4 linked regions of the Oreochromis niloticus genome follow. The protein of the gene in region 2 interacts with the protein of the main gene of each other region in a pairwise test. Links are inferred from orthologs where the notes say so. Each region holds a gene or a part of one and is shown on either strand. Other genes may lie near its edges. The genes, in order: fosl2, creb5b, spred1 and efemp2a.

Evidence for each region.
Region 1: the proteins of creb5b (region 2) and fosl2 interact in binary tests that used the Homo sapiens proteins (3 or more experiments, as listed by UniProt). The two-hybrid records come from large-scale screens. The link is inferred for Oreochromis niloticus from reciprocal best matches to the Homo sapiens genes CREB5 and FOSL2.
Region 3: the proteins of creb5b (region 2) and spred1 interact in binary tests that used the Homo sapiens proteins (3 or more experiments, as listed by UniProt). The link is inferred for Oreochromis niloticus from reciprocal best matches to the Homo sapiens genes CREB5 and SPRED1.
Region 4: the proteins of creb5b (region 2) and efemp2a interact in binary tests that used the Homo sapiens proteins (3 or more experiments, as listed by UniProt). The two-hybrid records come from large-scale screens. The link is inferred for Oreochromis niloticus from reciprocal best matches to the Homo sapiens genes CREB5 and EFEMP2.

What each region holds. Positions count from the first base shown.
Region 1 is NC_031983.2:23,201,753-23,209,591, reverse strand, and holds the start of fosl2 (fos-related antigen 2), read left to right. Parts: upstream 1-4,681; 5' UTR 4,682-5,360; coding exon 5,361-5,489; intron 5,490-7,839.
Region 2 is NC_031976.2:18,511,142-18,518,127, reverse strand, and holds the start of creb5b (cyclic AMP-responsive element-binding protein 5), read left to right. Parts: upstream 1-3,854; 5' UTR 3,855-3,940; coding exon 3,941-3,970; intron 3,971-4,044; exon of another isoform or gene 4,045-4,140; intron 4,141-6,986. UniProt on the Homo sapiens protein: Binds to the cAMP response element and activates transcription.
Region 3 is NC_031983.2:16,022,407-16,030,398, reverse strand, and holds the start of spred1 (sprouty-related, EVH1 domain-containing protein 1), read left to right. Parts: upstream 1-4,912; 5' UTR 4,913-5,938; coding exon 5,939-5,970; intron 5,971-7,992. UniProt on the Homo sapiens protein: Tyrosine kinase substrate that inhibits growth-factor-mediated activation of MAP kinase. Negatively regulates hematopoiesis of bone marrow.
Region 4 is NC_031966.2:20,257,604-20,265,553, reverse strand, and holds the start of efemp2a (EGF-containing fibulin-like extracellular matrix protein 2a), read left to right. Parts: upstream 1-4,898; 5' UTR 4,899-5,099; intron 5,100-7,950. UniProt on the Homo sapiens protein: Plays a crucial role in elastic fiber formation in tissue, and in the formation of ultrastructural connections between elastic laminae and smooth muscle cells in the aorta, therefore participates in terminal differentiation and maturation of smooth muscle cell (SMC) and in the mechanical properties and wall integrity maintenance of the aorta.

The sequences.
Region 1 (7,839 bases), on a different chromosome or scaffold from region 2:
TGTAAAATAAGTAGCTCTTTTTGAGATTCTCTGTGCAGTGTTTTGAGCCATGTCTGTCCAATGCAGTCCATCAAAGTCAGTCTCAGGTGTTCCTGAATGATTGTCATAAGTATTTAATTAATTGTTTTGCTAAATGGGATCTGGCATTAAGGCTGAAACTACACCAAAGCAGGCCAGTTGTCTGAGTGGATTAGAATTCAGTCCATATGGATGTGGCTAGGGTGAAGATGTTGTCGAGCAGCTGCTGAGCTTTTTGCATACCTGAATGATGTGAGTGGCCTTATTGGAGAGTATGTGGCCAATGAATTCATCTTCTTCTCTCTGCAATCCCACACTCCGGAGGTCAAGAACGTTCAAATTATCCCTCTGCGCTGCTGTGTTTGACTGCTTTACATGAGTCACCACAGCAACCAGTAAATGAAATCACTGAAGGATGCTTGCTTCAATTCACAGGAGCTGTCTGCCCGTCTGGCATCCAGCCTCCTCTTTTTAAAGCCATGTTCCTGCACACTGGGCTTCCTGATGAAACCGCTGATTAGATTTCCATTGAAAACCTCCAACTTGCACAAAACACTGTGACAAAGGGAGCACATGTTTGCCACAGCATTGTCAGTGCATGCGCAAGGAGGGTATCGGCTCCCTGCTAGATTTTGCTCGGCTAACTCTAAAAATGCAATGAACTCGGTGTTGCTGTTGTTGCGTAATCAAACAGCATGTGAAGTGTGTTAACAGGCCACTAGCACAGTCCCACTGTCGGTCACTCTGATTGTTCTTTAACTCACTCTCTGTGCTCACAGTCAGCACTTTGTTACCTACGTGTGTCCTACTGGCTGCACCTGAGCTGTGAGATTAGCCACACTGATCATGTTGAGCTATTATCCAGGTTAAGGTATTACAACATGACAACATGACAGGCGACTGACGGCAAAGGAAAAGGAAAACAAAGTGATGCAAGGGCAAAAAAAAAAAAAAAGTGAAGGAAATATGTAGTGAATTCTGAACAGTCTCCTCCTCTCTAGAACACTCAGCTGTTTTCCAGAGAATTATGTAGCAATGAAGTGACTCAGTGTGACTGTAAATGCACTTTTCAGGAGGTTTGTATGTCATTTAACCTTCAAGTCACCCAGTTGTATATTTTTACACGTCCTGTTATGAATTTATGAAGTGGAGAAATGTTTCTTACCATAAATTGGTCATTTTACAAACAGAAGGACGTGTGTGTGTGTGTGTGTGTGTGTGTGTGTGTGTGTGTGTGTATATATATATATGTATCTATATATATATATATATATATATATATATATATATATATATATATATATATCCATCTATCTATCTATCTCATATATATAGTATATATATATATAATTAATGTATAAATATATACACATACATTAATGCAGTCTATCTTTCAAGCTCAGGTCCTCCAGCAGAGAGAGGCCTGGGAGCTTGAGGGTCCTGCGCAGTATCTTTGCTGTTCCTAGGACTGTGCTGTTCCTAGTGAGTGTCAGTACCACAATCCAGGATGTGACAACAAACATCCACGAGTACATCAGAAAGATGGCCGCGTGCTCAGTGACTACCTCGGGCAGCGGAAACCCAAGAAAGGGAGCAAGAGAAGGAACCATCATGGAAGGACAAGCCCCTGCATGAGACCCTCGTTCTTGGGATATATACTATATTTCTGTGACTAAAATATATTCATGTATGATGTATTACTATACATAAAGCCTATAGACCAAGCTTTCAGCAGTATTCAAGCCATTAAAATAATCTCTATCTGTACCATAAAAATATACACAATAATGATATACACATTATGATACTGTATGAATACTATTCCTATTTAAAAAAACTCAACAATAAATCAAATAAATAAAAAACAGTATATAAACTGTGGTGCAGCCACTTATCATGCAATACATCTCTATGAGGGGGACTGCAAATGAGCCAGAAAATTATACCAAATGAAATGTTTTTTACACCCTCAGTATTTATTTATAATCAGATGTTCTAACTTCTGGTTCTATGTGACCCCCCAAAAATGTTTCTTCTTCTTGGATATCTTGGAAATGTCCCTGGGTGTGGGAAATTGGAAAATCAAAGCATTCAGTACTTGTCATGGTTGAAGAACAACAAGAAACTGACTCCAGGGTGTATCTTATTTTAGGGTAATAAATTGTTTGTGGCACTGACAGCAGGAACACTCAAACAGCAGTACAATGAAAATCACACAGCAAACTTGCTGCAAAGATTTCTATACAGAACAGAACTGCAAAAATTTTTACAACGTAAAAACACCACTTTATTTTAGAGCTGAAAGTACAGCATTGTAATTTAACAACGATTATTTTACAGCACACTTAACGAAAAAAAAAGTACTCTGCTGGATCATTTGACAGCAATGATCGAAATTAATAGGACGTCTTGTCATGGATTTGTTATTATTACTACGATCATGCTTGCGAAACACTTCCAGTAATCTTGGGGATTCTGATGTTATGATGACCTGCAATATAATCCATAACATGCCCTATATCTAAGATCTTGTTGTGCAAAATAATGTGGTTGGGGAAAAAGGAGTCAAAAGTAGCTTTAAAGTACTCATAATGTGCTACACAACAGAAAAAGTGAAAATCAAAAAACAACCCAACATCAAAGGGCTGTGATCCTACAAACGGAAAACGCTGTGTGACTGATGTCTATGATGCATGATTAGATGATCATTTCCTACTATAGGCCATGTTAGGTGTTTTCATGAAATGGGTTTTGTTGTTAAGTTGTAATAACTAAATAGGTTAGCTCTTATTAATATATTCTGTTTGTACCCCCCCAACCTGGATTGACTGCCCTTTGTTTACAATCTCCTCATTCGGATTTATGCGGCGGTACCTGAAGGCAGCATTAGGCATCAACTCTCCTGCGTCACGAGCACCTGAAGCGCGTCGGCCGCGGCCAGGTAAGCCTCTTGCGCACGGACGTTCAGTGGACCTCTTGCGTGGACGTCAGGCTGAATGAGATGTTCTGTATAACACAGATTCCTTCTGATGTGTGATGGATAGATAAGCTGACCTCATTGCGCACATTGACCAAACACCCTCTTGTGTCACCTGACCCCTGACCTTGGGCTCCTTGAAGCTGCAGTTTTTCAGAAATCCGAGAATTTGCGATTAAACTCCAAGAAACTGAAGACAAACTGGAGCAGCAGCGTCTGGCTGACTGACTGTTGCGTGTCCCAGGATCCTCAAAGATCAAACTTGGAACCATATAGAAGTTGTCACAGTGCCACATCGTGCTTCTCCCAAATTGACGCCCATGGGTGCGTCTGAAATGATATTACGGCATTAATTATGGGATGGCAGATTAGATTACCCCCCCCCCTTTAGCTATTTAGCAGAAAACGCGTCGCTTAGCAACACCGCTGCGTTCAAAAGATTAACCATTAATTAATATCATTCAGATACAGAATTACTCAACATCTTCGGGAAACTGAAACGCACGACAGGCAGGGCGTCATAGATCAGTGCGCAGGTCAAAAGGTAATGGGGCGAAAATGAATGACACCCAGTAACTCTGGAAAGGGTGACATATCGGAGAGCTGCAGTACCTACAAGTGTAACTGACGTCTTCACGTTATGAGCAAGCGAACAAAGTGAGGCAACGAGCGGCTGGCTGGTCACCCCAGAAACCCCCCGCAGATTATTTTCCCCTCAGCGCAACTTCCCCCGGTTCAAACTTTCTGACGGGAGCGAGGCTTTCTGGCAAAGACGCGCGCGGCACCAGCAGTTATGGTGATGCAGATTAAAATAGGAACCGTGGCAGATGGGATTAGACTTAATGCGCCATTTTATATCGTGTAACGTGTCACATTCTGGGCGCTGCGCCCTTGTTTATGAGGTGCGTCCGAATTACAATTAGCCCACATTTCACCGAGATTCCTTTGAAGCCGCCGTGCTGCACTAACCGGCGGGCCACATTAATCTGACCGTCCGTGTTGTGTGCCACCTCTCTCCAAATTAGGCACAATGCGGCGGCGCCAAAGCGCACAAAGGTTTAATTGTGCAGAAACGCCGCGTGTCCAATCGCCGAGTGTGTTTATGAGCAGCAAATGAAAACTGGTGGACATGAAATAGTTACACCCACCATGACACCCCCTCCTCTCTGTCTTTATTTGATTTATCGAATTTTCAGGCTGTGCACAGCTACAGATATGGATTTCATTTTGAAGCTGAAAAACTTTCAATAAATGATTTTACTGCGCAGCACTCGCTCCCGGTGTGTGCGGGTGCACGCGTGTCCGTGCAAGTCGCTTTAGCTTTAAGTTTCTAAGCTTTAATGTGTCGGTTTTCCATCACTGCTGGGTGGCCGAACCTGGACCGGCGAGCTCTGAGCTCCGAGTCCGGACCACAGCGCGCGAGGGGAGGGAATCCCTCCAGTGTCTGACGCTTCCTTTACCAAGGAAACCCACACGCGCTCGCTGACGCAACTGCCCATTTTAGGAAACATGCGTCAATGGACCCAAGCAAGTCAGACAAATAGTGAACTCCGCGGCAGCACTGACGTCCGTAACAAAAAATAAACCCCTCCACACATGTTCTGGACCACTTTTACCAAATCCCAGCTTTTCGGTTTTCTCCCTGCTGTCCGCAGGGCGCAGGATGGTGATAACGGATCTTTTCTTTTTCACTGCCTTTTGGAGAGACAACCCCTCCCTGCTGAAGTCGCAACGCCCATGCGTGACGTAGGCTCTTTCGTTGGTGTTGAAAAGCCGTTGCAGTTCTTCATAGTGCCATTGAAGTGAGTCATCTCTAGGAAGTGTGGTAAAAAGGAAAAGAAAAAAAAAGTTCGAAGTGTTCCGTGAGCAGCAGAGAGAGCTCAGAGGAGTGTAGCTGGCAAGGCGACGGAAAATATTGAGAAGAGTAGAGAGGCAATAGGCTTTAAAGCGAATGTTAACCTGTGTGAGTCACTCTAACTACATGTTTGATTGTCGCTGCTGGATCTGACTGCTGAAGGTGTGCTGCTGACTTTAAGCTGAAGTTTGCGCACCTGAGAGGATCTTTAGCAGCGTAGTGTAGGTTTACCTGCGGCTCCAGGAAAAAAAAACAAAACAAGAAATAGACTCTACAAGCAGGAATAATACACAAGAAAAAAAACGATTTGTATTATAAGTAAAATGTTTTAGGTTAGTTTACAGGAGCAAAATTGCACTTTTGTTTTTTTCTCCTTCTTTGGAAATTAACGACTTCTCGAATCAGAGGATTTTTTTTTTCCTGTTGGTGCCTTTTTTGCATCGGGGATTTAAAAAAAAAAAGGCTCTCAGAGCTCAAACAGTGCACTGAAATCTTCCTCTTTCCTGGATCATGTACCAGGACTACTCCGGGAACTACGACACCTCGTCCCGCGGCAGCAGCACCTCTCCGGCCCAGCCAGAGTCCTTCACAAGCGGCAGCAGCACGATCGGAAGTCCGATCTCTACCTCAAGCTACCAGGTAACAGAAGGAAAGGACTGGCTGCAGATTAATCTATTAATGAATGCATTCTGGATAACATGAAAGTGTCAGTTCGTTCTTGTGCAAAGTCCAATTTTTAGAAAATTATTCCATCGTGTTGCTACTTCCAGCCATTAACTGAATTTAAACAGGAATTTTCCGGGTCGCCTGGAGACACAAATCCGAATGAACCCAGTGACACGGTTCGTATCAGTGACTCAACAGGGGCAGTAGTCAATCTGTGCATAGGCGCAGTCTGATAATATTACAATAATTTTGCTTTTGAAATATTTAGACACTGATTATTTTATCTAATGTTAAATTTCTCCATTAGTGCGCACCGCAGCTGGCGACAATGCGCAAGTTTGCGTAAATTTATGGTACAATTGTCTTATCCCAACAATTTAAAAAAAAAAAAAAAAAAAAAAAAAAAAAGACATACAGGGTGGTTTGTGCACTGTTGCAGGGAAATTTGGCACACTGGAATGAATCCGAGTCTGTGATTTACAGATGTTAAATTCCCCTTTCTTTCTGCCAAATTCACTGTGCGTTTGTAAAACAGGAACATTTCTGGGGTTTTTGCCAATTTTCTCACAGAGACGAATGCGTGTAAAGCAAATGCACACCTGAGCTTTTTACACTTTTCATGCTGCGGTAATGATAAACTAGCTAGAGATGAAGCTCATGGTGGATGCAACAGGCATTTCGTGTTGGGCTGTGAGATGTCTGATTTCAATATTCCATATGTGTTGCTGCAGAATTTGACCCAAGTTCCGTTTAAGTGTCCACATGTTTTTATTCCACATGGAATCAGAGTCTAATTCGACCAGGCGGGTCTCGGGCTGCACATGCCACATTTTCTCCAGCTGGAAGCGCGCTCTGACTGGGAGCGCAGGGCAATCAAAAGCCCGTTCTTCCTCGCTGTGTTCACGGTAGTAATTGTAGAGATACATCTAAAACACCAAAATCTCATAAGGTTACGCTTTTACATAGTCTGAGTGAGACTTTAGACACAGTTGAGGTGTGCCAGTGTAATGCCGTGAAGACGCGGTATCTCAAAAATACGAGGATATAAATCCGGGAACAGGCATGTTGTTTACCCCCACACCCTCTGCCGTGCAATTCTGTGGAAAAGCCTCCTCAGGCTCACGCAACATTACGGTAAAAGACTTTTGGACAGTGTGTATCATTGCTCTGGTTCCCTGTAATCACACGCTGGCTGCCTGTTTCCCATTACAGGGTTGGAACATGAACTCTTCGCTAGTTTATGGAGACATATGAAAACGACCCCCCTCCCCCCGCGTGTTTTTGCAAGACCAGTATCATTTTAATCAGACTTGTTTGGCTCTAATGTCATGATTCCACTGAATGTCCTTTGTAGGCAGTTATTCATTTCCTGGTTTATATGTATTGTAAATTCCAGTGCTCTTATTCTGAAGCCAATCTGGCCCAAAAATTCCACTCGCATAATTCTGGATAATATGTCTGGCTTGTTACAGCTGGCTGCTTCCCCCCTTACTGGAACTGACCGCGTTTCACATGTGCTCGACAAATGCAATACACAATGACTCACCAGATAAACAAAGTTGCAAGAGACTGCCGGGATATCCGACGGAAAGTCGGGAATAACGGGGATGTGGGGACGTGCGTAATTTACGCACACAGGCTGGCATTCCTCCTTTTTGATACCAGAAACAATGATCTAACATCACTTCTCATGTTGATGTGTTTGTACAAGACCTTGTTGCACAAATGTATATAGGCACGATATGTAAAATGTTTGTCTGTATGAGAGTCTGAACAAAAATCTACCATTCTGGAACACATTATATCTTGAGATGTTCTCACATCTCTTTTTTTTTTTTTCCACTATTCCCCCCCCCCCAATTGTATGTTTGTTTGTTTTTTTTTAAACAATCTTCTGTGAAATAAATTTAATAAAGTTTATTCCATTAAAAATATAATTTTACATTTCCCATCTGCCCCGTCAAATCAGAAGTGAACTTAAGAAGACGTGAAATGGCTCTCTAGTGCACTGTTATGTCTCATTGTAGTAAAAATGAGATGCAGTGGACACCTTGGGCTTTCCCACATGAATCACTGCATGTGTCACTGTTTCACTCCAGGGGTTACATACAGTGTTTCGCCTATGTGGACTGAATCACTACTATAAGCTTGAAATGTGGAAAAATGTGTGAATCTGATGACGGTGGGTGGTGGTGTGTGCATCTCTGTGATGGTACTCTAAGCACAGCAGAGATGCTTCTGGAATAGACCAGAAGCAGCACATTAGGAAATAAACCTATCCTCTTCTGGAGACTTCCCTTCATCATGCATCCCTTTTCACCAC
Region 2 (6,986 bases):
CAACCTCACTGTGGAAACACATGCAGGCAAAGTCACGTTTAACAGCTGCTCGTAAGTGACCAAACCCTTCTGTTCTCAGGGAACTGCCCAGCAAGTTTGAGCCAACCAATAAGATAATTTCCTCACTCCTACACACTACAGTAAAGAAAGGGCACCTCAGTCCTTCTGGCTTCATTTTTGCATGGAGTGGAAACTTATTTCAAACAGCTGAAAGTGAAAGCACCTCCCTAGGGACTTTATTTCTAACTCAAATCATCAGTGTGTTTATTTAAGTGATTTGTAATAGGACAGCGGGTCCTGCAGGCCAATATAAATCATATAGGAATGACTAACACAATGGAAATACCACTCACAAAATATTATCCATGCAGTGTTGTAATGTAATCTAAAGGTGTTATGATAGTGTTATTGTTAGCCTCGCCATATAACATTTAAAAAATGTTATTGTTAAAAATGTTATTAATAATCCCCTTTAAGTAACACAGAAGCCAAGTTCATTAATCATTAGACCGATAAACCTTCTCACAAGTGCTGTGCAAAAAGATCATCCTACACCATTACAAATCTCCATAGGTTTCACTCAGGCACCACCATTTATCGTCCACCTAATGTAAATATTATAGGGTCAAGTGTTTGAGCGAGAAAAAGCCACTGAGGTTATCTACTGAGGACCCTCCAGAGTATATGTTTTGCTGGCCGAGACTCCCAGGGCCATTAGAAAGCTCAGCAGAGATAGTTTGCATACCAGGACAGAAATTACTGAGTCTTGACAGTTTCAAACCACCAGCTAGCTGACTATTCATTTCAGTATTTCAATATTTAATCTGAATGCTGAAATTTATAAGATGTATGAGTAACTCAGATGTTGCAGTGGACAAAAGTAAATTTACTGGTTAAACAATTGCCTGTAGAGTAAAGGGTTTTCTATCCTTATTTTGGAGTTTAATTTCAAAACATCCCCACAACCCAGTATTGAATTTTTATTACTGCATTGTTGTTTTGCAATGCAGTGAACTATAATTACTGAACATTCTCATTTTTCAAATCACACAAATATATGCACTTTTTTTCCTTTACAACCCACAGACCTTGACATTGACAGAGTGTCAACACTGTGATATTCAGTATGTCCTGAGGTTTCCCTCACCACACAGTAGTTCCTGATCTTTAACCACTGAACAGCAAACACTTGGAACGACATTCCCACCAGTTCAGAAGAAAAATCTTTCAATATTTATAGTCAGCTAGGCTGGTATATTCTCCTGGCTTTGTAAAGATATGATTATGTTTTCAAATCAGACAGATAAGTAACTCTACATTATTTATTTATTTTTGACATTCAGACTATATAACAATTTATTCTGTTAAATAATTAAAAAAAAATTGAACATTTTCTGAAGAAAGTTTGAATCTGTCAATATAACTACTGCTGTTGGAGTTATCAGGCAGCCCTGCATTAGCCAAAAGCCCAGACTATCTTCTTTCGGATGTGAGTAAGGTTTACTTGGCTGCTTAGGTCTTATCTTACATCTTTCCCTCTGCTACAACAGTCATGGCTTGCTTGGTCTCAAATATGTGATAAGAGCTAGATGGTGAAGCCTCTGATTGAAACGTAGGGATTTTAAAACAAACACGCAACTACGGATGATCTCATCTACAAACTAAAGTGCAGAATTCCCCAAAGTGTCTGCTTTGATATATTGTTGGTTAAAATCAGAGTTTTAGAAGTTGTTTTTAAACCAAAATGTAAGATGAAGATGCACCAGTAGTGCGTGAAAACAAGAAAAACACCAGTTGACAAAGACCCACAATCATTTATTAGTTTTACATTTCTTTTTTCTATTTTTGCTTTTTCTACCCCAAATTTTGGAGAAGTATTTGCTTATATGAGCGATAACAGATAACTAAATATCTTATATTTCTGTTGTTGCACAGTTACTAAGAGCTTTATACTAATATCTCTTTGGGTGTAGTCATCTCTGTTTAAGGTATGAAGAGCAGCATTAATGTGGACATCTATTTCCTATAGCTGACTGCTTTGCAAAGTGGAATATTCATTAAAGTGCTTTATATTTTGTTAAAATTGAAAACCTATGAGACGCTTTCGTTATTAGCCTCCTTCACCTTTTGCACCTGCTACAACAAAGCATCATCACTGGTCCTTATCTTCCCAAGGTGATCTTAGCTAGAAGCATTGCACAAAGGCATAATAATAAAAGGTTTAGTATAATATAGATCAAGTCCACTTTAGTGTGGGTCACTGACCCAAACTGTATCGGCTCTTTCCAGCCTTAATAGTCTGCTCCTCTGGGAGCATAATGTTTGGATTGGTTGGGAAATATATTGGCAATAAAGAGACAAAAGGATGTCATAAATGTTGATTAAAGCTCTGGTTAAAAGACAGAGGCAGAGAGGCTCTGAGTTATGAGGGCTTTTCAGACTGCGTTATTGTTTCAGTGACAGAGCTCTTAGTGTGTCTAGTGGAGTGGCGAGTGGTAAACATTTCTCAATGTGTGAGGAGTCATTAATCCCTGGAACCGAGGATGGCTTCACTACCAGTGTCTGTGGCCCAAGAAATCACAGCCAGTTGGCACCAGCAGGTCGTGCAGAGCTCCAACATAAATGCTTTGTACTTCAGAGCTGTTTAAATCTCTTCTATGTGCTGTAGCTAAGGCACACTCTAGAAAAGGCAACAGGCAACGCTCTGTGTTTTGCACATTCAGTTCATTTGCCAGTCAAGCTGTTGATGATACATTGAGTCCTGCCAGGTTATAGCCTCACTGTGAAACATAAGCAAAATATGAAACCAGTTTAACGAAAACAAGTTTCTAAGGCCCTGACAGTAACATCACGGAGTAATACAGTATGCAGATTGTCACCGAGGCTGAATCGTAATTCTGGCAAAAAGGAACTTTCCTGTTTCTGGAATCATTAGACTTGGTCATGTATGTTTATTATAATTTATTTTGAAGAGATTCCAAGTTTCATAATTACTTTAGTTTTCTACATAGAGTTTTCCCAAATTCTACTTGAATTTTTGAATTAGCAAATTCGAGCACTGCTAGTCTGAGAACATTTGTATTCTTGCATGAAAAACACTTCACTCATCATGTTACACAAGCATACACAAGGTACATTGTAAAGGTCAGTTTCTGCTTGGTTCCTTTTTAAGGGGGACATTTACTGTGTTTCCTTATTTTCTCTCATGTACATAAATATATAATATTACAATTATCAAAGCTCCTGTGAGAGGAAACAGCCCTAATAAAGTCATCCCAGTCATCTAGCCTGATGTTCAAACCTTCTGTTTGCAAGGGGGAGTCAATCAATATAAAGCTGGTGTAAAAGAAGTGTGGCTTTTGGTAGAGGAGCTAAAACAGCTTGGTTCAGCAGTGGATTTGCTGAGAGGCTGTGGCTAATGTTCAAAGCTACTGAGTCCAAGAATAAAGATATGGAGCCTAGAATCAGCAAATATTAGAATTATTTTTATTTACTTGTAAGGCAGAAGCTTCTTATTATAAAGTTTCGATTTTGTTGGATAAAGTTTGCAGGGTCTTGATTATATTTCACGCGTGGTACTGTTTAGTGGGTTTTCCCGTTTATCGCTCTCGCTGTTGTCAGATAGAAGCTGCAGCACCGCACGTTTATTTGCGCTCATTGCTCTGTACTGGCGCTCCAGCTTTGGACCACACCCACCAAGGGCCAGCGGCGTTCATACATGCCCCGGGGCGTGCATTTGCAAACTCCGCCCCGCTGGCTCCACCTACCAGCGGACCACAATGATTTAGAAGTTCAGGAATCCCACGTGACGTCACCCAGGGTGACGTTATGCTTCTCTAAATAGATCGTATTGTAATCTTTTCTCAGTCCAACGTGGTTTCTTCTGAGAGACTGCTTCACATTTTCTGCACTTGTTTGGTAAGTTGAAAGCCTTGCCACCATGCAGAGGACCGTGCACGCGCCTCTGCAGGTTTGTTATCTTTTTATTTTTATTTTTTTAAAAAGCGATTCTTCTCACTTGTTCTTCTCCCTTTTTCATGCAACAGCTTGTTTTCTCGTTCGCTTCAGCAGTCTTTCTAAAGATGTGATTTTGGTTCATTTTTTTTCACCTCCTCGTCCAAAACTCCTTCGTCTCCGCAGGTTTGTGTCGTCCAAGTTTTGTTTGAGTGAGTGCATTGTCATGTCACTTCGCGCTCCGTGTGTTTGGCCTGTCTCGCGGAGTCAAGTGCCGCTGCAGCTCGGTCTGTCAGGTAGCAGCGGAGGCAAGTCTGCAGAAAATTATCTGAAATGACGGAAAAACGCGAACATTTTTAATGCAACAGACGCTTTTCGTTGCACTTCACACCAATTTGGCACGTCTTCTAAGTTTTCATTTAGCTCTAAATCTCCGAAGCTGGACCTCTGCATCATTGTCATGCCTGTCCCATCCAGGGATACGCAGAGCAGGCTAATCTCCGGGACTCGTGCGTGCTGCGGTTCACCAATGACTGTCTGGAAGATAATGGGCCGGTGGTTATGCTGTTACCCCAGTTTACAAAAAAAAAAAAGGGGGGGCACTAATACCCCTGTTTACGTTAAATTTATGTCCCCCTTTTTCTCTTGAACAGCAATGTTCATCAAGATTACGTCATTCTGCAGGCCAGTCGATATTTGATTAAGCGCTAAGATGTTGAGGGTTACTTTGAGTAAGGTTGTGCTGACGGTGCGCGCTTTGTGACGGAACGGCTTTTTAAAAAAAGAGAAAGATGCTTTAATTATTTGATTGCTCTCCGGCCGCTGTCATTATGTTTATGTGACAGCACTATCAATAACACATGTTTCTCGTACACGATTCCACTTATTGTGCCCGAGTTTTTATTCGGTGTGGTAATAACGCCGGTTAAAGTGTTATTTATGTCTGTTGCGACGTTTTTTCAGCATTTAATATAGACTGGGATGGAGTTTCTTTGTATGAAAGCTTTTACAATAATTTTTCTCTTTAAAAAATATGTATCAGATTGAGAAAAGTTAACTTGCTGGACAAAAAAAGCATTTTTAAAGCAAAAATACATAATCCAAAAATAGTTCATAATAATTATTAGGATTTACATAAACTTAGACCAAGTAGCATAAGCTATAGTTAATGCATTTAAACTCACTTGTTTATTCTATAATAGTGTTATTTACTAACCTTCATGGATATATGTTTTTTACATGTTAAGTTGGATTGCAGCAGTAAACTGTGAGCTGCATTTCGTGATGATTGTTTTATGTGCTTGAGGTACCCCTGGTAATGTCTGTACTAATATAGAAGGTGTGAAAAGGTAGGAAGCATAAAGGCAGTCTCAGGTCTGATCAACAAGTACACCACAGACGTTAGAGCATTTTATTTTAATACTAGAGCTTTCTTTTCGCCTTTACCTGCAAAGTTCTGCAAAGTGAACGCTAAGAATAATACAGTTAGAATAATGTGAGCAGTGCTAATCCCATGCTAGACCTCAGAGCATTCATTTTTTGATTTATGAGTTTATGTTGAGTCAGAGACCAGTAATTGAAAGCTTTTGAAGTTTATATTTCAGTCAGACCAGTCTTCTAGTCATGCATTGAGTTTAAGAGCAGAAGTTCAGTGCAGACATTGTCAGAGAGGTCCCCCGTACGTTGCCTCAGGGATCGCCGTAATCCTTCCTTCAACTTGTACTCTCAAAAGCCCAGGCTATGGCACTGGAGCTGCAGATTTGAATTGCTGTGCATGTTTGTGCTTGCTTTAACCCCATATGCCTTTGCACCCCAACCCTTCTTTTCCTCACCATATTGTTTAAATTCTAATATGCGGTCTACCTGCAGAGTTCTTCCCAAGTTCCTCTTGAAATCGAATGCCGGACCCTAATCCTTCCCCTCACTTACATCAGGATACAGTTAATGTAAAGTGTAACCAAATTTCCTCTGCTAAACGAAAACATCTATATTAAATGAGAGCCAAGTGCCCTGTCCAAGGAAAGGGCGTTGAATGCTGATAATTTGAAGTGTGAAAGCTATTGGATAATTCACAGAGGCATTCGCAGAATTAATGGCTGGAAGTTTTATGCATCATATGGTTTGAATTTCCTAGTAAATGTGAGGGAATGATCGAGTCCCGTTTTAGAAACAGGAACAGGAAGGTAAACGTTTCTGTTTTTTACAGTTATGGAAACAATTTTTCTCTTATTTTTTTTTTAATGGCTTGCTTTAAAGTTTTTATGTTTCAAGAACTGTTTCAAATTCATACTGGCAATCAAGAGGAGAGCTAGTAAACAACAGTTCCAACAAGAGTTGTGCAAACAGCTGATTCATGCTGTTTCATGAACATTTCCGATAAAAAAGAAATGGGCCTTTATTTAATACACGAATGAGTAGCGCCATTTCTACAGGCACTGTTTTTGTCATCTCGAGCTTAGTTTTATTTAATGATCAGCAGTGTTGGTTGTGTTTGTTGTGTCAAAAGAGACCAGGTGAGTTTTTAGGGGCCCTGTTTTAAAGAACTGAACTGGTGATAGAAAGACAGACCAGGTCTCATTGCTCCCTGACAGAGAGACCCTTTCCAGACCCTGTTCAAGCGGGCTTGCTCATGAAGTACAACTTGTTAGGAAAACAGGACTGCTTAGCATAACACAATATTTGACTGTTTTGACTGCGCTTAAGGAAATAGCCTGTACCTATGAAAGAGACACACATGCACATAGCGTATGAAAGTATTCATGGCTGACACTTGACATGCCGTACTGACTTATTACAGGCTTATTACAGAATTACAGATGCGCTGCGGTTCTTGTGAACTGGTAGCAGGCAGAGGTGATAATAATGCAAGCGATAAAAGGAAATGTTTTATGTGCCATTAAATGAAAATGATGTGGTCCAGTATCAGTGTTGTAAATACTGCAGATGTTTTACTTGTACTGAGAGGACACATGATAAACCACAGACCTATTTGATGATCATCAAACTCTTAGTGTCTTATCAAACCCCCTTCT
Region 3 (7,992 bases), on a different chromosome or scaffold from region 2:
CAATTAGTTACAATTAAAGTTACAGTTACAATACATATATACATACATATATTTATATATATACATCAGTATAACAAACAAAGGGATGAATAATAGATTACTCATTCACCAAACCATCAGCCAACATGGGTCATTCGTTGCCCTGAGTTTACTGCAGACTGAATGGCTACACAGTTATAGTTCTCCATTTCCAGAAGCTGCTGTGCTTCTAAGATGATCAGAGCAAAATGTTTGGGGATACACATCTGATTCTCTGCCTTGGCCAGGCCAGAAACTATAGATCAGTGGTTTCCAACTCCAGGCCTCCAGGCCTCAAGGCCCGATGTCCTGCAGGTTTTAAATATCACCCTGGATCAACACACCTGAATCAAATGATTAGTTCATTACCGGGCCTCTGGAGAACTTCAAGACATGTTGAGGAGGTCATTTAGCCATTTAAATCAGCTGTGTTCGATCAAGGACACACCTTAAACCTGCAGGACACCGGCCCTTAGGCCTGGAGTTGGAAATGCCTGCTATAGATGAATCTCCCATGCCCAGTGGTGCAGTGCTTAGTATTGCTGGAGCCCTTTTTTGTAGTGTTTTCAGGATTAGGTTAAGTGGCCATTCCAAAATTAGCTATATAGGTGCAAATGTGAGCATGAATGTCTATGTGTCTATCTACTTTTGCCCTGTGAAGGATTAACAACTTGTCCAGGAAATGTCCAATCACTCGCCCAGTGTCAGATGGGCTCACTGTGAACCGGATGGATGGTACAGAATCACAGGTTCCCATGTGATCCTAGGTGCAGTTGATCACATTTTGCTGTCCAAATGCTTTCTGATGCTGTATTTTAAATAAAGGCATTCAAGGAGAGAAAATCTCTTTCATTTCATGAGCAAGTTTGTTTATCTACTGAAGTTTAGATTCGGATTTTTTGTGCAAACACGAAAATAATAAATACACAATGGAAACAAGTTTGTCTGGTAATTTTATAATTTTTGCTTACATCGAATTATCACATTCTTTTCACATTACAAGATACATCAGACGCTTCAAGTAAATAAAGATTCATGCTGCAGAGTCACTGAAAAATAAAGGAACATGACTTAACGCCAGTCACATCAGACTGCGGTATTTTAAATCATTTCACTCATCAGCTTAGATCTGATGAATGAGGATTGTATCGGGCTAAAAATATCATCCATTCGGTGGTTCCTTGTTGGCAATGCAGGAATGTTATATCTCCCTTGAAGAATATTGTGATGAGTTTGATTGCATTTAGTGAATAAAGTCAAGGAGGGATGCTTCTATCAGCTAAACTTCCTGTTGGCTGGTTTAAATATGCTACGTTGTGTGGTATGTTCAGTGTGAAAAACACAGGAAATGGACTAGGGTCATCCACATTTGTGAGATGAGAAAGAAGGCTGACTTCCTGAACTCTAAATACTCTAAAGGATAAAGGCATGCTAGTAGGAAAAATAAATCATGTTCATTGTTCTTTTCTGCTCTTTTTGAATCAAGGGACACTTCGTTTGGACCTGATCATGGTAACTTAATCAGAAATAAGTGAAGAGGCCATGTTAAATAAAACAAAGATGCAGTATCCTAACCTGATTACCCCGTTTATAATACAGACTGCTTGTATAAACATTCATGTCAGCTTGAAATCATTATTTTTTTGAGAAAACAATCCCAAGAGAGCTTTTGCTCTCAGGCAGTCTGTTTTGGATTCATGGTCATTTTTATACATAAAATCCTTCATTTTCAGAGGCTCACTGGACAATTGACTGACAAGCAGTTTCGTGACAAAGAGAAGCCTATTCCACAAATTAGGCAGATAAAAGAGTTGATTCCGAATTTTGAACTAGAATTTCATAGCTTTTCACATGACATTTTATATGAGGTTCAAAGACATGCCCATGCAAGTGAATGAGGCCAACACAAGGCGTAAAAACGACAAAATAAACCAACTGGAGAGATAGCAAAAACGTTGGGAGTAATCAGATTGATAATTGGAACAATATGTAAAAGAATACATTGGCCAATAGACCTGGAAGATCACAGAATTCATTTCTAGGTTAAGAGAAACCTCTTCAAAACATCTACAAAAGTTAAGCAACCTCAAGAATGTGCCACATAGTCTAAAATCAAAAGGAGTCTTCATGGATGTAAGTAGGTTTATAACAAGGTGCAAACCACTTGTTGGTTACACTCAAGAACAGCACAGCCAAATTAGACTTTGATAGAAAACGTTTAAACAAGACTGCCCAGCTCTGATGCAACCAAAATTAACTTCTGCCAGAATGATGGTGAAAAAATGAAATAGCTCATGAAGTTTGTCACGTCATCTATCAAACATGGCGGAGGCAATGTTATACCATGGACATGTATGGCTGCTCACTGAATCTGATTAGTAGTGTTTATTGACGATATGACTGCTGAAAGAAGTAGAAGGAAGAACTCTGAAGTGTATAGGGGTATACTCTGATCAGGCGGTATTTCATGGTATAAATAGATAATGACCCAAAACATGCTGCAAAAGCAGTCTTTCCAGGCAAAGAAATGGGATATTCCTTAGTGGCCAAGTCAGTCACCTGATCTCAGCCCAATAGGGCATAATTTTAGTTACTGAAGACAAAACTGAAGGTGGCTGCATTAAAAGCCTGGCAGAACATCTCAAGGGAAGAAACACAGGATTTGATGTCCGTGGGTTCTACAGTCTAATTCTACAGGATTTCAATTCAAGTATTAAAAACAATCCTTGTATCCCAGGTTCTCTTTACTTCTTCCCACAGTTCAATGAGATACATGGATTAGATTAACGGGTAAATCTAAATTAGACATAGTTAACTATTCATGTGAACATGAATACTTAACTGTCTCTCTGGTGTTAGCCTTGTCAAATATTACACGCTCCCAAATTGGATAAGCAGAAGAAAGTAGATGAATGGATGGATATTTAAATTTTTGTCAGCTAGTCCAATGACTTTTAGGCCTTTTAAACCAATCAGCTAAGTGAAGAGAAACGATAGTCCGGAAAATTGCAAAAACTTTAAATTTGTCCCCCAAGTGCAGTCGCAAAAACCATTGCTATGACAAAACTGGCTCACATGAGGACCGCCCCAGGAAAGGAAGCCCGAGTGTCACCACTGCTGCTGAGGATAAATTCATTCGAGTCACCAGCCTCAGAAATTGCCAATTAACAGTACCTCTGATTAGAGCCCAGATAAATGCCACACGGAGTTCCAGTAGCAGACACATCTTTACATCAACTGTTCAGAGGAACAGTTAAACCCATTCTCCCACTGGGTTTAAATCTGGGACTCTCGGCCATTTGACCTTAGAACTGAAGAAGCTTCTTGGATGAGAGGTGAAACGTCTTCAAGCAACTTAAAGAAGTCCAGACGCTTTTCTTTGCAAACTCCTTTGACTACGATGACCTGGATGACTGAGAACCTTCACAGACATGTTCAGAGGAGACTGCGCAAATCAGGCCTTAATGGTCAAATAGCTGCTAAAAAACCACTACTAAGGAAAAGCAACGAGCAGAAGAGATTTGTTTGGGCCAAGAAACACAAGGAATGGACATTAGACCAGTGGAAATCTGTGCTTTGGGCTGATAAGTCCAAATTTGAGATCTTTGGTTCTACCTGCCGTGCCTTTGTGTGACGCAGAAAAGGTGAACGGATGATCTCTACATGCATGGTTCCCACCGTGAAGCATGGAGGAGGAGGTGTGATCGGGATTTATTCAAAATGAAGGCATACTGAACCAGCACGGCTACCACAGCATCCTGCAGTGGGATGGACCGCAGAATGAACGCAAAAGGGCCAACAAATACTCAGCATCTCTGGGAACTCCTTCAAGACTGTTGGAAAACCATTTCAGGTGACGACCTCATGTAGCTCATCAAAAGAATGCCAAGATTGTCCAAAGCAGTAATCAAAGCAAAGGGTGGCTATTTTGACAAATCTAAAACAAAATTTGAGTTATTTCAATTTTTTTGGTTTACTACATAATTCCATATGCGTTCATTCATAGTCTGGATGTCTTCAGTGAGAATCTACAAAGTAAACAGTCATGAAAATAAAGAAAAACCATTAAATGAGAAGGTGCGTCCAAACTTTTGACTGGTAGTGTATGTACAGTGACACAGAGGGACGTTTCATATGGCCCTCAGCATAATACTGTAGCACAAGCTGTATGAAAGCCAGAGAAATACAAAGAAACTTCTCACACAACATGTTGTCACTATGACAACCAGGCAGAATCATTTAGCCTGATCTCTTGCCTTTTCCACACAGCACAGAAATCCAATAGCATTTAAGTCTTATGCAACCAGGCTGCCGATTTGCTCTGAAAGGCTTTTAACACATTTGCAACTAAGATTCATAGAAGCACACATGGATTTTTCTGGCAACTTCTTAGACTGTTTTATTCTGGAGGGAGCTTTAGCTGCCTGGTACAGTTTTAGAAGCACGACTTTGAGCCACATGCAGTTGTTTTAGTCCCCTACTCTCTAGTGATCACCCCTTTTTGTAGCTTATAGTGTAATCCTAATGCCTGTATTTTATTTACATTTACGGCCAATTACAGTTCTCAAAAATCCCACACCATGCCCTACTCAGATTTTTGTTTCTACATTCCAGAGAAAAAAAAAATCCTCATTTTCTGAATTGCCGCTTTACAGTCTTTCACTTTTCACTCTGCTATCACTGAATAATAAATAACCCTGGCCTACGCTCAGCGATAGAAATACCATCTTGATTTGAAACACATAAATCGTGAAGAGGGTCTGATATAATTCCACGTGCTGCAGCACTCTCGGTTGTGTACATTTGCAGCACTTCCCCACTATTTTGCATTAGGATTTTAAAAGCGGTTCGGAGGGGAGGTAGATCACGATAATACAACTGAAAAAAGAATATACCAGAAATTGTTAATGACCAAGTCTCCGTGTCAGCTCAGGTCCTTCCTCTAGATTATTTTCTAGCCTACTTTGCGTGCTATCACACAGACGCTTCCCTCTTGTTTCAATGCGTGATTGAAGGGAAACTTCTTTTGGGAAGTGGGGGGACTACTTTAGGTCAACTTTAGAAAGAAATCTTACTAACTTATTGCATACGCTTACGGGGGAACGCGGTTTAGTATAATATACGCTACTCTTTAAGCATACAGAGCAAAGTGTGTGCTGGGTTGGTATTTTTTCTATCACAAGTGTTATGTTTTTACTACGTCGCGGAAGGATCCTTTTTTCAAGCGAGGGTCGACATATCCGCCCATTTTTCCGATGTTTCATTCCCCCCCGAGTTGAAAATGGAGTTCGATTAAAGCAGATGTCCATCAAGTTCTCAAGGAAATTTCAAGTCTATGTGTTTTTACTTTAACTGTCGGTGCTAATACTGAAAACAGTCGGACCATTTTGGGGGGCATTGGATGCCTTTACTGAAAATTACTCGGACACGTTGACGGAGCAACGCTGCACAGCTCTTTTTCAAGTGTTGTCCTGGACCTGAAGTTGGCGAATGGATGCTCGACAGCCAGCCATAAATAACCTGCCAAACGATACAACCTACAACGGTTTCTACATTTTTTGAGGATCTATGCACATTTTTGCAAGCCGGGGATTTGTGTCAGTTGAAGAGGATGGTCCAGATGGCCCATTTGTTGTGGTCGGATTTTACTTCCAGGGAGGATAAAATGAATCAACGATTGTCATTCCTCCTCGCGATTTAACGTTAGAGCCCAGCCAGCAAAAGCTAACGTCCAGCTAGCTTCACTTGCTTTTCATAGGGACGCTGAGTTAGGCATGCCCCTTGTACGCCGTTTATTTACTATCCGAAATAGGGGTTATTTCTGTATGTGAAGGAAAATGGTGATATATGTGGTATTTTATCCCGCCGTCACTGCGTCGTCGATGCTATTGCTAGGATTTGGATCCCCGTGAGGAAAAAAATGAGTGAAGATTCAACAAATCCAAACAACGAGTGAGTCCTGTTTTACACACACTTTATTTTAATATTATTATTATTATTTTATCATTTACATCCAAACACACAGCTAATCTTCAATATGTGCTTATATATGTAGATATTAACACACCGAGCATCGAGCTACGTTAGTTCCCGGTGACATTTCTAACCGAGCAACGTTGCCATTTCATCGTCTTGTTTTACTAATATCAACAATAAGAAACACGTTGTACTTTCCCCCCCTGTTTGTTTGTTTATCAAGCTAATAGAAAGGATTGCCTTGTGAGATTAAACAGAACCGTGCCGGGGAAACGGTGGCATCGATCCGTAGTAAAATATTAATCTCGTTGCTACTTTTTTGTAGGCTTATGATACTGCTAACCAGTATATGCTGTGAGAATTCACATTAAAGCCACAACATTTGAGGTGTACTAATCTTTGCTTATTTTGCTTGCTTGGTGTATTATTATATGTTCGGGAAATGTATTAATTCACGAAGGATCGTTCGGAGCAGACGCATAGGTGACAGTAATCTAAATATAATTTTATGTGAGTGCTTGCTCGGTACATCACGATCAGAGTCCTCTGCATTGACAGCCCCGATCTGTGTCTAACTGCTGTCCGCCATGATTTCGGAACATAATCATCGATTAAAATATTGCGGATTGTGTTTGTCTTTAAGTCTAGCCTTTCTTTAATGAAGGCTCTTCGCGGTTAATGCGGCAATGTCGGCATTGAAAAGCCGAAGATGCCATTTTTTTTTCTCAATCATGCTCATTTACATATCACAATCCTCCATTCATAAAAACGCTTAAAAAACGGCATCGCATTCACGCCCAGAGCCTCACAACCTACGGACATCGATTATGATCTGTGCATGCTGTGTTTTTGTACACGTCGCGCCCATTTCAGCTCGCATTTTGGTATTGTTTTAATGGGCTGATCCCTTGTGTGCGCTTGTTGACAGTCAGTGAGAAATATCTGCTTCGGGAGGTGCTGCGGTCACATGATCCCCTCCATTCATAAAGTACCTGCCTGCCCATTCACAGCACTGTACACTGTTTCGCATTGCACCGACGGTCACACAGTGATCACATATTCTGCATTCGCGGTACAATACGTCGCATATAGGCGCCTGTGCTCGTTTTTCTAGTCGTTTATTTTACATGTTTTTTCTTAACCATGTCGACGTGATTTTTCTTTCACAATTCATTTGTCACAGAGGAAGTCATATGCCCTTTTCAGCCATTTACAGTGTCACTGTTTAATGTCTGAAACACACCCATGTTTTTTTTTGTTGTTGTTGTTGTTGTTGTTTTGTTTCCCCCATTCAATCTTTCTGGCCTTTGTGAGGCTGATTGATTTAATGCATGGAGGTTTTGTCCTTGAACTACACTGTTTTGTTTTTATGTAACATATGTCATGGATTTATTTATTTTTCCTCATGTCAAAGCACAGGAGCTCACATATGAATTCATCCCAGGCTATATTTGCTATAAACCTTGATTCAGCTTGAATTGTGTGAATTGGTGAAACCTCCTCATCTCCTAAATTTGATGCGACTCCCTTCAATAATCTCGGGAACTCATCCACACCCCAGATCCCCAATTTTTGAGAACTACTGCCACAGGCTAAAAAATAAAAATCCTCAGTTCCACACAGCATGATGGCAGCAGCTAAAATGGCGAAGTGATCCAAACATTGTTGCTAAGATTTCACCACCTTTCCTCTTGTATGATTCATAGTAATGGAGTGAACGGAATACTGAGCGCTGCCTGAGCCATTTATTTTTGCTGAAAAGCGTCTGTTTAATGAAATATTTTTCATGAGACATCTATTGACTAAATTAAAAAAAAAAAGATTTGGTGTGCCACATTTTTTAAGAGTCAAGGATAATCATTCCCCCCCCCCCCCCCCCCCCCAATAGTAGTCTTCACCATATTACATTGTGAAATTGAGCCACTTTCCACTGATAAATTAAACGTTGGTCTTTGAGCCTCTGAATCCTTAATCAAACTGCCTTTTTTCTCATATGTA
Region 4 (7,950 bases), on a different chromosome or scaffold from region 2:
ACCATGCCGGAGCTCCTGTTGTCTGCCGGTTTCAACAATTAATTTGGTTTTATAGCTCTGGGTACATTTTATTACTTGTGGTGGGATTTCTGATTGTGGAGCAGATTCTTTCAGTATTAGTAAATCTCTTGCGTTGTGTGTGTAATTTCAGTTCGACAACTTCAAACGTGTTTTCAAAGTTGTGGAAGAGCTGAAGGGACCCCTGGTGGAGAACATACGTCAGCATTTTCTTCTGTCTGACAAACTTGCAAGGTAATCGGCAACGGGCACACAGCACAAGCCTTCTGCCTCAGGTTTATGTTTTACAGCTGTTGTATAATTTAAAATCTGTTATGTTGTAGTGTTGTGATGGATTAATATGTTATTTTGCAACAAATTCTAACGAAATACCACATAAAAAGGTTGGGTGCTCTGATTGCTTGGTTTTATTTTGGTTTTTTTAAATGCCGTGTGTTTATTTTCTTCATCACAGGGATTACGCTGCCATCGTTTTCTTTGCCAACAATCGGTTTGAGACGGGAAAAAGAAAGCTACAATACCTCAGTTTCCAGGATTTTGCTTTCTGTGCCGGCCAGCTTATCAGCAACTGGACAGTTGGGGCTGTTGGTGAGTGCTTAGTTTTGTTTCCTTTGGCCATTTTGCTGATATAAGATATGATAAGATATGTCTTAATTTGTCTTTGTGTTTTTTACAAATTGGTAAAACATTAGTGGTGAACAAAAAACTATAAAAGAGGAATTTTAAAAGTTCTCAAAAGAACGTTTACTTTTGAGAACAGAATGGATGCTGTCTATACTCACCAGGCCACATTGTTAGGTACAGCTGTTCAGTTGCTTGTTAAGGCAAATATCTAATTGGACAGTCACTTGGCGAGGTACATCATGTACATGGTACATGGATGTGATTAAGACATCCTGCTGAGGTTCAAACTGAGCATCAGAATGGGGAGGAGAAGGGACAAAAAGTGATTTTGAACGTGGCGCGAATGTTGGTTAGTCTGATTATATCACAAACTGCTGATCTACTGGGATTTTCCATGACAACCATCTCTATGGTTCATAAAGAGTTGTCCTAAAAAAAGAAAATATCCAGTGGGCAGTAGTCCTTGAGGTGAAAATACCTTCAGAGGTCAGAGGAGAATGGCCAGACTGCTTCAACAGTAACTCAAATAACCACTTCATTAGAACCAAAGTATCTCTGAACACACATAGTATCAAACCTTGAAGGAGATGGGCTACAGCAGCTGAAGACCACACTGGGTACCTCTCCCTTTAGCTAAGAAACTGAGGCTCCAATTCACACAGGCTCAACAAAATTGAACAATAGAATATTGGAAAAATGTTTCCTGGTCTGATGAGTCTCGTCTGCTGTTGTGATGTTCTGAGGTAAAGCCAGCATAGATCCCTCCTGCCTTGCATAAATGGTTCTGGCTAGTAGTGGTTGTGTGATGGTGTTGAAACATTTTCTTGGTACTTTTTGGGCCCCTTAGCGCCAGCTCAGCATTGTTTAAATACCACAGCATACCTGAGTACTATTGCTGACCATGTCCATCCCTTTATGAAGATATTGTACCCATCTTCTCACTAGCAACAAATCTACAGCAACTGTGTGATGCTGTCATGTCAAACCTGAGGAATGTTTTCAGCACTTTATTGACCCTATGAAGAATTAAGGCAGTTCTGAAGGTAAAAAGCTGGTCAAACCTGCTATTAGCAAGGTGTACCTTAACAAAGTGGCTGGTAACTATATGTTGATTGTGTTTAATAAATAAATTTTAGACCAGTGGCGCTGTCAGTGAGGTTTACTGACCACCAGAGGTCCTTCAGGCTTTACTTCATCAGTAAGAGGATGAATTTTAAATTCACAGGTTAACAATTAGGAGAGTGAAAAAGGGAATAATATTAGGTAGCATCTGAGTCATTATACTTAATAACCAAGCAGTTATAAGAACACAAATATTTACAATATAATTTCTAGAAGAAATTCCCATTAAACTAACTTGAACAGTGTCTGAATTTTCCTGTAGACAACATGGTGGAAGACATGGACGTCGATCTTGACAAAGAGTTTTTACAAGAACTGAAAGAGCTGAAGATTTTAATCACTGACAAAGATCTGCTCGATCAACACAAAAGGTAACAGGAACACGCTTCAAGACACTTCCACGTTTTGCTTACTCCTGAAAAACCTTCTAAAAATAATTTGATCTGTTTTCTTTTTCTTTCTTCTCTTGTTTCTGCTCAGTTTGGTCTGTACAGCCCTCAGAGGAAAGACGAAAGTTTTCCCTGAGATGGAGACTAGTTTCAAGGTGAGAGATGCTAAGTATCTTCATGAAATTCCGTGAGAATAACTGTGAAAAGGAAATAACAGTTTCGAATGTAATTTTGTTTCTGCAGAATCTTTCCAGAGGCCTCATCAACATAGCTGCAAAGCTGACCAACACAAAAGATGTCAGAGATTTCTTTATTGATCTCGTAGAGAAGGTGAGATTTTCTTAAAAATATAAATATATAAGTAAAGACTGCTCACCAAGCCCAAATACTTTAATGTCTCTCTCAGCATCAGTCTGCCTTTGAGGCTTTATGCTGTAACCTTCTCACCTCCTTTTATCCCACAGTTTATTGAGCCGTGCCGTTCAGACCGGTGGACAGCTGCGGACATGAAACTCTACCTCACTCATTACACCAACTCTGCACACATACTCGACACATTCAAGTGAGTTAATGTGCTTTTATTCTCCGAAGCTTATCAGTCAGAGCCCGGCACCGGCCCTGCCAGGGTTATCAATTCCCCCGCGGGGTATCCTTGTGCTAAAAATACAGCTGTGATTTTTCATAGAGAGCTTTTGGGGAAAACTTCAAAATAACCGAATAAGGATACACATGGTGGTGTTAAACACTGCTGAAGCGTGAAGCTGTATGTTAAAACCCTCCCAAAAATTGACGTCCTTGTTCTGCCAGTGGGTGTCTCCCTATCTTGCTCATGACTTCTTAAACTGTAGTTACCTTGTTTCTCGTGCAAACACTCAGGAATGTAGTTAAGGGTTTACACAGCCCTGAACCACTACAAGCTTAACAAAGACATATTCATAAAAAGAAACATAGACCCCCCACCCCCCCAGCCGTATACACAGAGGGGACAGAGATTGCCTCATTTACTCTCTTCACTCTGATTTCACAATTACAGTCTGACATGAAATTTAGAGCACCTCTTTTCACTCCGTTTACTTACCGTTTGCTCTCCTTTTCTTTCTCTTCTCTGCCCTCAGACATCAGGTCGTGTGGGACAGATACATGGGCGTCGTCAAAAGCTGCATCTTCAAAATGTATCACGACTGAAGCGTTCTCTTAGCGGTTCACTTCTCCTTTCAGTTTGCTAAGGCGTTACTTTGCTCCTTCGGATGTGCTTTCTCTGCTTCTTCTGTCATCGCTGTATGTTTGTCTGCCTGCCTTGCTCCTAGCGTCCCCCAACATTGTCTGTAAATTTGGTTTGTAAATAAAATGAAGATTTTACATTAAAAATGCCCTTCTGTTTCATTTCTATGCAATGTTTCATGTTTATTCTGGAAGGAAGAGATGTTGTGATTAACCCCCGAATCAGGATCTTTTGCCGGGGGTTGGGGGTTGGGTGAACCATACTTCAGAAGTGAAAACAGCGGATTTGATATTGTAGTTGATATTGACTCCAATTGAATTAGCTTTTTTTTCACTAATTCTCTTAAAGAGGACCAGCGGATCACATGCACGACAGGCTGTGACTCCAGTCAGTGTGTGGGGTGTCTCTGTGTGTGGTTATGGGAATAAGGGACCAACTGGGTGAGGGGTGGGGGCACAGTTAGTCCAGCTGGGAGTGTGATTTTTAACAACATCCCCTGTAGTGACAGCTGCCATCTCTGCCACCCGACAAAAACAAAAGGCAGACAAATAAGCTGAGGCCGAGTGAAGGGTTTTAAACCAAACACTGGAGGGTAGCTGGAGAAACCGCCTCCCGTCTAAAAATAAAATGCAGGGAGCTATTCTGCAAGTGATGAGATATTTTTAAGGAAAATTAAGACTAGCGCTGCCGCTGCTGTTGATCCCATTTTGAGGATAGTCTGAATTTGTGCCCATTAGATTTGAATGAGCCTGAAACTAATGAGTATTAATGTGAGTTAAGCAACATCTTAACCCGTTTGCATCATCACAGACTACAAATTTTGCAAGACAACATGCTGCTGGAAATGATTCCAAGCGCAGTAACGCATTAGTCACGCACAAACACGAGAAGAGCAAGAGTTGCTGCGTGGGTCAAGACTTATGATACTTCTTTATTTTCTGTCCTTTGTCCCAGAAAGCACCGCTGGTTCATTCTGTAAAATAAAAATTTTCCAAACACGTACACACACACACACACACAGTCTGTCGCTCTCTTCCACTCTCTAATTTTTGTCCGCATTCCATTAACTTCTCTCTCTCTGGCTATAAATATCCCTGCATGTCAGATTGGACGAGAGCGAAGGCTTTAGTGGCTTTATGGAAAAGAAAAAAGGGGAGTGAGAGATGGGGGAGGTAAGTATAGATAGATGGGGGGTAAATGGGAAAAGGGAGGGAAGAATGGGTGGGAGAGCTTGGGGATTTTGCAGGGGTTTGGTTTAAATGAAACCAGGTGTGTTGTGGGACCAGTGAGAGGGTGAAAAGATGTGGGGGCATGTGTGTGTGTGAATCTGTGAGTTGTGCCTGCGATTTGGACGGATTTGGAATTTCGGTATTTGGGCCGCAGACCAGGAATTTGCATCCTGGGGGGTCAGGGAGAGGGGGTTTGGGGAGTGGAGGATGGCAGTGCAGGGGGCCAGAGGGGGGTAAGGGGGCTGTTCCTCTCTCCTCCCTTTCTCTCTCTCTCTCTCTTGCCTCTGCCTGTCTTGCTCACTCGCTCTCTCTCTCTCCCTCCCTTTCCATGTGCTCAGCTGCTCCAGCTGTCGGTCTCCCCACTCACTCTCTCTCTCAGGGTCATACAGGCAGGAGTTTAAGGGACCACTTCTGTACGCCAACTCGGCTGGGACGACCGCAGCCAGCAGGAGGACACACTGGTCAGACGGAGACTGAGAGACAGAAGATTCCTCTGTGAGTTTTCCTGTGTTTCTTTAGCCTCTTACACATATCTAAGAATGTCTGTTTGTTAAAGAGAGACTTGCTGGATGACTTACTATGTTTTGCTAGCATTTTAGGGAGAAGTAAGGGAGGTGAGATGTACCTCTTACCCACTTTTTCTAGTACAGGCCATACACGTCACACTTGCACCACTGCCCTGCTCTCTGCTCTGCTCTCCCAGCTGCACTTGGCTCCTTATGAGAGCCAAGATAACGTGGCTAACTCTGTCTGAGTAGTTTACTTCTTGGCTCTGACTGTAATATGGGGTTAGACAGGAAGAGAGGCAGTGAGTCACAGGGCACATATTATCGTACTGTAATATTGCAAAATCCTTCCGCCTCATCCCTCTTGTACAACGTTTAACGTCAGTGTCACAAGCTCAGTTTAGTCTCTAGGTGGGGGAAGCTCAAAATCTGAAACACAAACAGGTGCCAACATGTAGAAGAGTTCTCTAAACCTGGATGACCTCACAGTGCACAACTGCTGTTTCACTTTTTGTGCAATCAATTTCCTGCAGGTAAAAGCAGATGTTTCCACTTTAAGGTGGGGATTAGAAAAAAGCAAGCATGTCAAAGTTTTCTGAACTCTAACACAAAAGCATCACACGTTAGAGTTCAGGAGGAACATGTTTTACCTTGTGAGTGAGTTTCTCCTACAGGGCGTTATTTCTGTCTTTACCTGTGGAGCTTCCCGGAACAGAAGTCAGGCCGAGTGTGAGATGGAGACTCCCTGGTTGTGGATTTGCAGGTTCACTGCCACAACTGTAACAGAGCGCAGCTGGTGGAGCGCGCTGGGTCACCGTGTTCTCAGGCTGCTCCACGCACAGCCGAGCACAGCGACGCAAACTTTGTGTATACACTACAACAAGTGACCATCCTGGAGTCTAAACTGTGTGTGTGTGTGTGTGTGTGGTCCAGCTGTTGGTCTTTTTTTGGTTTCCATGTGGTCACTGATATAAGCCGCCTGACATTTTGCTTGTTAAGCTGTTCTGAATGTGTGAATTTAAAAATGGGTCAACCAGCAGTCCTGAAGCTGAGCCAAGCTCCAAATGAAACTAAGATTGCGCCTTCATAAAGTATCGATGATTTACTTTTTTGTATTTTTTATTTTTGTGGGGTAGTAAATGGTACACTTGTATAAAAGAGAAGCCCACCACAAGTTCCCAGAGTCCAAGATGACGTCTTCAGATGTCTCATTTTGCCTCACTAATAATCATATCCTGCTGAATATTTGGGTTACTTTCGTATTGACAGAAAAAAGCAGGGGAAACTGCATATTTGTGTAGTTGCTTTCACATTTTTGCTGGAAAGCGAGTCATGAAAATGCCTCCTGATTCATTTTCTATGGATTGACTCATCAGTTATTCAAATGGTGTATTTTCCCTGTCAGTGGTGGTCGAACGCAGACAATGAAGTTCTGTATCAGAGCCGCATTCTCTGACATCCTCCTACACATCCTCCAAAGGGATGGGAGGTTAGGGAAGAGGTGGCCGGAGGTCTGGCACCAGCTGTCCTCTTATGTGAACTGTGGGGGGTTTCCCAGAACCTGATACTCTGGGAACCACTGCAGTGGCAGGGCATCCCAGCTGAGAACTGGTGCCCACATCCTTGCCACGGGCATTCCAGAGGTCCGCCGCCACTTGATCTCCAGCAGCAGGAGGGAAACACCCATGCATCCTTGCTGCCCACACTGAGTAGCCAGTGAGTGACTGGACCCCAGGCTGATGGTCAGTTTGTTTTTGGGTGGTTTCGGGTCAAATTCTTGCTGGTTGTAAGTCACTGTTGGGCCAATTCAGAGAGATCACGCACTGCGGCCGTCTGATTGCGCGGTGGTATGCGCTACCGTCTGAGCTTACAGTGTGAGAGCATATTTTGCTGCTTTTCACCACTCAAAGGTCACGGTGATGTCATTCCTCGAGTATTTCAGGGTGTCCAAGTCACCCTGCGGCCTTCTGTTTGTCTCAGCCTGAAATAAAACAATAAGCAATGCCTGCAAATGTGGCCTCGGGAGTTTATATCAGAGCGTGAGTGTATGCACGTAGACAGGCAGTGATTATAACCTTCCTCCCTGTATTTTAACTGGAGCTCACTCACTTTGCAAACAACACTTGCTTAGGATTTTTTTATTACTTCAATTTGTCTGTTTAATTTTCCTGTCTTTTCGGTCTGGCGGAGATGGAACGGGCAACTTGTTTATGTTTAGGCTCAGCTTAAACACTTATAGCTTCTTTCAGGAACATTAACTGAAGGATGGTTGTGTCATTGCTGCCAGAGAGGCCCAATCCATCAATACCGAACCATGCAATATATATTTACCTTAAAAATACACTACATGGTACAGAACACTGTATTAAAGTAAAAATAGCAATATAGCAGTGTCAAAAAATATTCTACTATAGGAAAAGCCTGCAAGAGGTGCTAAAGTAACCGTCAACGTTAAGCTATAAAATGAAAAAAAGGAGAAAGTGTAAGGAAGGTAAAATAAAAGCAAAATGGGAAAACTGTCACCTGAAAGTGTATTTTTAAATGGGACTTTAAGCTGATCACTGACTCCTTTGCCTTTTGTCCCTGACTGTAAATATTGCCTCCTTTATTTAGTTTTTAACAGGGCCTCTGGGATGGGTAAAAGACCCCTTCTTTCCTGTGCACTCGGTACTAAGACTTCAAAGATGTCTTAAATAGTGGCCACAAAGACCCTTGTATTTTCATAATATATTGTAAACTTGATTAGTAGCGTTTTGAATAATTTTTTCTACAATAATCCAGGCAGATAAAATAGTGTTAATAACGGACTGTTTTATGTTCTGTATATTGTGTATTTGTCC